Oryzias latipes: one gene and its partner. The protein of the gene in region 1 purifies or fractionates together with the protein of each later gene. This does not show direct contact. Links are inferred from orthologs where the notes say so. Each region holds a gene or a part of one and is shown on either strand. Other genes may lie near its edges.

Region 1 (3,820 bases):
GGTCACCGGGTTGCCGAAGCCTATCCCGGCCACTTGTGGGTGAAGGCAGGGAACATCCTGGACAGGTTAGCAGTCTGTTTCAGGGCCACAAATCACACACCCCTGAAGACCCGCATTAACACCTATGGACAATTTAGATTAACCAATTGACCTATGCAGCATGTTTTTGGATGGTGGGATGAAGTTGGAGTCCCCAGAGAAAACCCACGCATGCACGGGGAGAACATGCAAACTCCACACAGATAGCTCCCCCATTGGTGGTCTGTTCCGGGTCGCCCAGCCAGGACTTGCGAGTTGGAGCCTTCTTGCTGTGAGCCTCTAATCCCTTTAATGTTCTACCTATTATTTATTTTAATGTGCAAAAAAAATCTTACAGGTTTTTTTGACAAACTTGATGAGGCAGGTGAAGATTTACAACAGCTCATCTGAGTTTAATATAGTGCTTGACTCTGCGTGTAACCAGTCATGGATGGGCTAAGACTACCAAAAATGAAAAAACCTAAAACTGTCTACCAAGTTTTGGTCATAAGGTCTTTGAGAGTGATGTTCTTTGAGGAGTTTCTGCGGGTTTCTGTGTGAAATAGTACAGAAATGTAAGTCACTAAGCTTATATGATTTATATAATGTACTTAGCCATGTTGTTTGGCCTAGAGGCAGCAGCACTGAGGAAAAGACAGGAAGCAGAGCTGGAGATGGCAGAGATGAAGATGCTGAGGTCTGTTTGGGAGTGACCAAGATGGATGGGATCAGGAATGAGGACATCAGAAGGACGGCACATGTTAGAGGTTTTGGAGATGAAGCCAGAGAGGCCAGACTGAGATGGTTTGGACATGTCCAGAGGAGAGACAGTGAATATATTGGTAGAAGGATGCTGCGTCTAGAGCTGCCAGGCAAAAGGTCTAGAGGAAGACCAAAGAGGATATGATGCAGTGATTGAAGACGTGAAGGTAGCTGGTGTTATAGTAGAGGATTCAGAAGACAGGGTTAGATGGAGGAAGCAGATTCACTGTGGCGACTCCCAAATGGAAAACCCGAAAGGAAAAGAAGATGAGTTCAAATTTATTCATCTGGTTTTTCCGCACATGAGTTACATATTTACATCTTCTTAAAAAATGGTTTTACAGGTTCTACGTAGATACTTTGTGTTTTTTATGCTGGTAATTGATCTGTTGAAGCCACACCGCAGATTATGTAGAGCGGCAAGTATATCTGTAATTTCACAGAAAAGGGCATAAAAAAGAAGCCTGTGGGATGGAGCTCTCCAATTATATGAGCAGAAATAAATAAATACAAATTGGAGGCCAAGTTTTTATGCAAACAGAACTGAGATTTTAGATTTATAAACTTATGGCACAGCTTGACAGAAGACCGTTTAAAAAAATAAACAAACCTGCATTCAACTACAAAAGAAATACATTTGTATAAACCAAGAAAATCCACCCTTAAACATTAAAAATATGACCCTTCTTTATTTACACTCTCTTATTGTAACCTCAGATTCATAAGGCATTTAAAGCTGTATTTTAAAAATCAAAATCTAATTGATCTTTAGCCACAAGATGCAATACTCATTTGTAAAATCCTTTCATTCATTATTATTTCTGCTCTAGTTGCTCCTTTTTTATGTTGGTTTTTATCCTTTTTATGTCTACTGTTTCTTTTTCAATTGAGTAGCATCGGAATTTTGTTGTTTTTCATTGAATCTTTTGAATCTTTGAATCTTGAATCTTTTTTTATCTAAAAGGTACTATTTTCACTATTTCAAGTGTAACTTTTGCTTGTTACAAAACTTGAGTAAAAAGTCTTTCATGATTTGAAATGAGAAAAACAAATAAACCAACTTGGATCAAATTGTGAATCAAATCAAGTTTTTATGTCATGAATCCTTTCAAGTTTTCTTTTTTTCCTCTGTTTTGATCAAAATTGGCCAGAAAAAAAAAAAGCCTGAATCTTTTTTAAGAGGGGTTATCAAATAATAATAAATCATATACGTCTGTCTTGCCTTCTACTGTCAATCACACATTTTGTTCATGGGCTTGAGAAATTCAGATTTACACACATTTTTCCACATGTGTACTTATTTTTCCCCCCCTTTTTTGTAAGATTAAAAAAAAAAGTACATTTTAACCCTTTAGTTAACGGTTTCCCCCCGTTCAGTGTTTCTAGCACATTTTTCTAGTGTCTCAGTGGATAACATATGGAAAACACCTATATCTAGTTAACATCTTTTCCTTTCAGGACTGAAGCCCATCTGGAATATTGCGGGGTCTTTTTTATTTCCTCCTTTAAGTTTGTCCTCTCTTTCTGCAGACATCTGAACCAGCAGAGCATGTTAACAGACAGGAATCTCAAACTGCTTCCCACGCTCAGAGCTTCAGTCATGGAAGTCACAGCAGAGCCGCTCATTCCCAAGTCTACAGGGACCCCAGCATCAGCTCCTCTTCCACCCGACAAACTCAGACTACACAGCTGCCTTCACGCCACCATCAATCAGACAGCCATACTTCAGATGGAAAGGTTCCTTCTGGCATAGCGAACGCACTGGAACACATTATAGGCCAGCTGGATATTCTTACTCAGGTAAGCAAAAGATGTTCTAAGCTGTCATGACAAATAACCTGTGACCCGTCCAGATAGATGTGGGTTCAGAGCACAGACACAGAACCTCTACTAGGTTCTTCACTAGTAAATGAATCCACAGGTGTGTGTTTTATATTCTCCATACAGACTGAAATTACGGCAGTTGGTCTTAACAGATCCAGTGATCCAGTCCATGCTGGGCAGCAGTAAAAGCAACATGTTTTTGAAGTAATTTTATGCTGACTGTTAAAATAAAATGTTGTTTCATCCCAAAGAAACACTAAAAGCAGAAAAATTAAATATAAGTTTTGAATAATTTCTTTCTTGTGCTGCAAAACAGGCACCTTAGAAATAAGTTATCAATCTTCCCCAATTGACAGACTTTCTTTAAATAAGCAAAAAAAGAAAATCTGCCAATTGGGTAAGAACAATGGTCTTACCAAGAATTCTTATTTTTAGAGTAAAAATTGTAGTCATTAAGACATGTTTTTTTCAAACTAAGACTATTTTACTCTTGAAAAACTTTCTTGATAAGATGGTTTCTTTTGCAAGACAGAAAATAAGACATTCTTTCTTGAAACAAGGCTCTTTACTTTAAGATTCTGTTTTTACAGTGTAGGGCATGGGAAATAATGAGACTTTGATTTGGCAAAAGGCAGATAGTTTACCTTGATAAACCAACTTAAAAATGTTCTACCTCTCATTGCTTTGTTATTTATTGAGTTACAGTTAAGCATCTTTGCAAAAATGATAAACACTACAAGAACATCAAAATCCTGTCAACAACCTGTCAACTTTTCGACAACATCAACCTCTCCGGTCGCTGTGTGCAGCTCAACTTCCATCTCCACAAACTCAGGAAAAAATAGAGCTGAAGTTTAGCTAGTTAAAGGCGCTAAAAAAAAACAAAGAAAGGTAACAGGTTAAAGAGGAATTCCCTGCAGCGGAAGGGAAAAATCCCCCATCAGTGAAGCAGCTGATCAGTTACAACAAGCTGCGTCACAGATACATATGGTACATTAAAGGTTTTTCTTCCTATTCATTCATTTGTTACTTAAAGTTTTTTTTGGTAGCTTCTCTTCTATAGTAGTTTGCACATTGACCCCCTCTTTTATTTTCGTTCCATAGATTTCCTTTACAAAGACGCTCCATGCTGCTGTGTTTAGTCTGCCTCTCCTCTCAGTGTGACTGTCTGTGAAGGCCAGACACAGTTTGAAGCCAGAGCAAACCAGAGCCTGCA
Region 2 (3,920 bases), on another chromosome or scaffold:
CAATAACTTGTTGCTTTTAAATCTGTAAACTCTGATTAAGTGAAATAAATTAAGTGAAACTGGGAACTCTTTTACTTTTTGCTAAAAACTATAAGAATTATGTTTTTCATCCGATTTCAAAGAATTTTAGATAAATACTCAGTCTATTCCTAAATTTTAAAAAGCAACACAAAAGAAAATAGGGTTTTATTTGAATAAAACAGTTTGGCAAGACAATATGGTAGAAGTGTGGGCATGAAGAACTGCAGAAGAACAAAAGTTTGTACATATAGGTTTAAGGAAGAGGAGAAATTAATCTTTTTTTTTTTTAATTGTCTGTCAGTCTGCCTCAGAGCAGCAGTGGATACATCAGTAGTTACAACCAAGCATGAAGGAATAAAGGACCCATTATAAGCACTTTTACCGTCTGGAAAAGCACAGATAAGTCCAATCCATTATTATTATTACGTTTTTTATAAAATAAATGGAATTTCAGTGCAGCATGAAACCTGCCTGTCCTGTCCTGATGAAGAGCAGATGATGAGAGGACCTCCGCTCTGGGGTTTTCCATGTGAGCCTGGAGCTACAGCTGGAAGAACATAACCCTGTTTCACCTTTTGGAAAAATAAGTTTTCCAAAAACATAGTTTGTATTTAAACCGTGGTATGATGACGTCACGCCGCTGCCCATCACATCTGCTGCAGTGGTAAACAACAAACTCTACTGATGCATAAACCACAGGTTTTATCTGTAGAAGAAAATGTCTCCACAGCAGGTACTCGGACTAAAACACTCCAGACATTTTCAAAGAAATAAAAGAATAAGGATGTTGGCTCATAAATGATGTGCATGGAGTTCCTGTTTTTGTTAATAAAGACATTGCTTTTAACCAGTGAGTTTGTTTGGAAAGATCTGTTTAAAAAAGCTTTTACGGCAAATGATTTATTTTTATTTGACAAATAAACTATGCATTGTTTTAAGCATGGCTAACATGTGGCACATGTCAAGTTTAATGATCCTCCTCAAAACCATGGTTTTAACCCTTTTTCTAATACGTACACAAACTTAGAAAGGTATATTTTCCAAAACATGAAAACATTTTTTGAATATAAAATTATAGCGTCTAAAAATGTTTGAAGTAAAAATAGAATTTATCTATAGTTAAAACTGTCAGACTTTTAATCTAGAAGATTCCTTCCTGCGCAGGGAACTTCCGGTCCCGCCTGAGCGGAAGCTCGATCGGATTGGACATTTCACTTGTCATTTAAAAGGGATTGCTCCAATTGGTCAAATCGGCCATGGGCGGAGTTTTGTTTCCAGGAAGTGCCAAGCGTGATCAGAGCCTCTCACTGCCGCGCCGAGGGAAGTTTTCTCTTGTTTCTACCAAAAGTCTTTCTTCTTTTTCTGAATCCACCACCAACATGGGCGATGAGGAGGAGAAGTATGACGGCATGTTGCTGGTTATGGCGCAGCAGCACGAAGGAGGAGTGCAGGAGGTGCGTAGATCCGAGATGCTAACGCCGAAGCTAATCATGATGGGCTGAAATGCTGAGGAGCCGCAGCACCTGGTCAACATTGACACCGTTAGGAAGTCTGGAGGATTTTCAGTTTCAAATCCACATTGCTTTGAGCTCATTTAACTATTCTGCTATGAAAAAGTCGTTTCCTTACGGAGATCCCCACTAAACGTTCAGTTTCCTTCAATTTGATGTTTTTTGACCGGATACTATACCTGTGTATTCTCAGTAATGGACATAACATCTTTCAAAACTTTGCTCTTGAGAACCAGTAATTTAAATAAGCTTTACTTTAGAAATATCTTAACCTTATCATAATTGACCAGACATTTGTCTCTTTCTTAAAGTTCAGCTTTTTCAGCCTTCTTGGAGCATGTTTACGTCAGAAGTCCAGAGTTTTAGTCTGCAATCAGCCTCCAGTTAGCAGCTTTAGTTACTGACTGCAAAGCAATTCCATGTTCTCAAAAGGAAATTCATATATTTGTTCTTTTTCTGGACTAAATGACTGTTTTTCATCAACCTCAGTGGTGAATTGATTCATTTTTAAAATCTGAATTATAAAATAACCTAATAGGATTTCTGTCTGTTCCTCAATGTTAAATTCCTCATGTCAGATACTTGAAAAAATGACATCAAAATGACTATTTGACTGTATTGTGTGTAGCAGAAGTCTTTTTGCCCTTTGTGTGGTAAGTTAAGGTTTTGTTAGGAATAATCGTTGCTGGGGAAATAGAAAAAATATACTTTTTCTGAAACATTTGGAATGTTTAAATTTAAAGCCTGAGGCGACGGTTTAATCCCAAAGTGTCCAGGTGAGTTGGGTGTGGAGGACAGAGAGGCTTTGTGGTTGAGAGCTCTGCACCGTCCTCTGCAGAAAACCTTGGCCTGAGCTCACAGCCTGCTTTTGCTTCAACAGTTAGTGAACACGTTCTTCAGCTTCCTCCGACGTAAAACAGATTTCTTCATCGGAGGAGACTCTGGTGCAGCAGAGAAGGTGAGCGGAGCTTCTGCCTGTTGGAGATGGACGGACGTGTTGTCCTCCGTTCACCAGCCTCTCTGTCCTCTTTCAGCTGGTCAAAGAAGCCTTCGATCACCACAACAAGTTAGCCATGAAGGCCCAGAGGGAGAAGCAGATGAGACAGGAGAAGGAAAAGAAGGAGAAAGCTGAAAGAGCCGCCAAGCTGGCAGAGGAGGAGGAGGAGAGGAGGAAAAACCAAGATGGACCCAGAATTCAGGAACTGACAGACGAAGAAGCAGAGAAACTGCAGTCTGAGCTGGACAAAGTAAACTCTTTGATTCTTTATGAAGGTTGATTTAAAGAAAACAAGTTCCGCTGTGATGTTCACCTTTCTGTGTTTTTAAAAGCAAAAAGACGACGAAAAGGAGGAGGGACGAGCAAACGCAGAGAAAACGCCGGACAAGGCAGACAAAGAGAAGGGGGTGAGTGGCGCTCTGCTGGTGATGAAGAGGACAGCTTCATCTCAGGCTTCATCTCTGGCTTTTTCTGTGTTTCAGTCTGATTCTGAGGAAGAGGAGGACGAGAAGGACAAGGGAAAGCTGAAGCCAAACTCTGGGAATGGAGCAGATCTGCCCAACTACAAGTGGACGCAGACGCTGTCTGAAGTCGATGTGAGTTCTTCATGATTCACACACACAATACATAAAATGGTGAACGCATGGAAAGGAACACGAAGGCCCCCGTCACTAAAGGCTGAATCCGCCCCCGTCACTTAAGGCCGACTCCGCCCCCGTCACTTAAGGCCGACTCCGCCCCCGTCACTTAAGGCCGACTCCGCCCCCGTCACTTAAGGCCGACTCCGCCCCCGTCACTTAAGGCCGACTCCGCCCCCGTCACTTAAGGCCGACTCCGCCCACGTCACTTAAGGCCGACTCCGCCCACGTCACTTAAGGCCGACACCGCCCACGTCACTTAAGGCCGACTCCGCCCACGTCACTTAAGGCCGACTCCGCCCCCGTCACTTAAGGCCGACTCCGCCCCCGTCACTAAAGGCCGACTCCGCCCAGACAATAAATGCCGACTCCGCCCCCGTCACTAAAGGTCGACTCCGCCCCGGTCACTAAAGGCCGACTCCGCCCCCGTCACTTAAGGCCGACTCCGCCCCCGTCACTTAAGGCCGACTCCGCCCCCGTCACTGAAGGCCGACTCCGCCCCCGTCACTGAAGGCCGACTCCGCCCCCGTCACTGAAGGCCGACTCCGCCCCCGTCACTGAAGGCCGACTCCGCCCCCGTCACTGAAGGCCGACTCCGCCCCCGTCACTGAAGGCCGACTCCGCCCCCGTCACTGAAGGCCGACTCCGCCCCCGTCACTGAAGGCCGACTCCGCCCCGGTCACTGAAGGCCGACTCCGCCCCCGTCACTGAAGGCCGGCTCCTCCCCCGTCACTGAAGGCCGACTCCGCCCCC

What was found.
Region 2: the proteins of poc1a (region 1) and nudc purify together in Homo sapiens (co-immunoprecipitation; 3 studies listed by BioGRID and IntAct, with this or other methods). This does not show direct contact. The link is inferred for Oryzias latipes from reciprocal best matches to the Homo sapiens genes POC1A and NUDC.

The regions. Positions count from the first base shown.
Region 1 is NC_019863.2:9,991,961-9,995,780, reverse strand, and holds part of poc1a (POC1 centriolar protein homolog A), read left to right. Parts: intron 1-2,310; coding exon 2,311-2,580; intron 2,581-3,820.
Region 2 is NC_019869.2:25,831,811-25,835,730, forward strand, and holds the start of nudc (nuclear migration protein nudC), read left to right. Parts: upstream 1-1,278; 5' UTR 1,279-1,400; coding exon 1,401-1,475; intron 1,476-2,412; coding exon 2,413-2,490; intron 2,491-2,566; coding exon 2,567-2,779; intron 2,780-2,861; coding exon 2,862-2,936; intron 2,937-3,011; coding exon 3,012-3,125; intron 3,126-3,920. UniProt on the Homo sapiens protein: Plays a role in neurogenesis and neuronal migration. Necessary for correct formation of mitotic spindles and chromosome separation during mitosis. Necessary for cytokinesis and cell proliferation.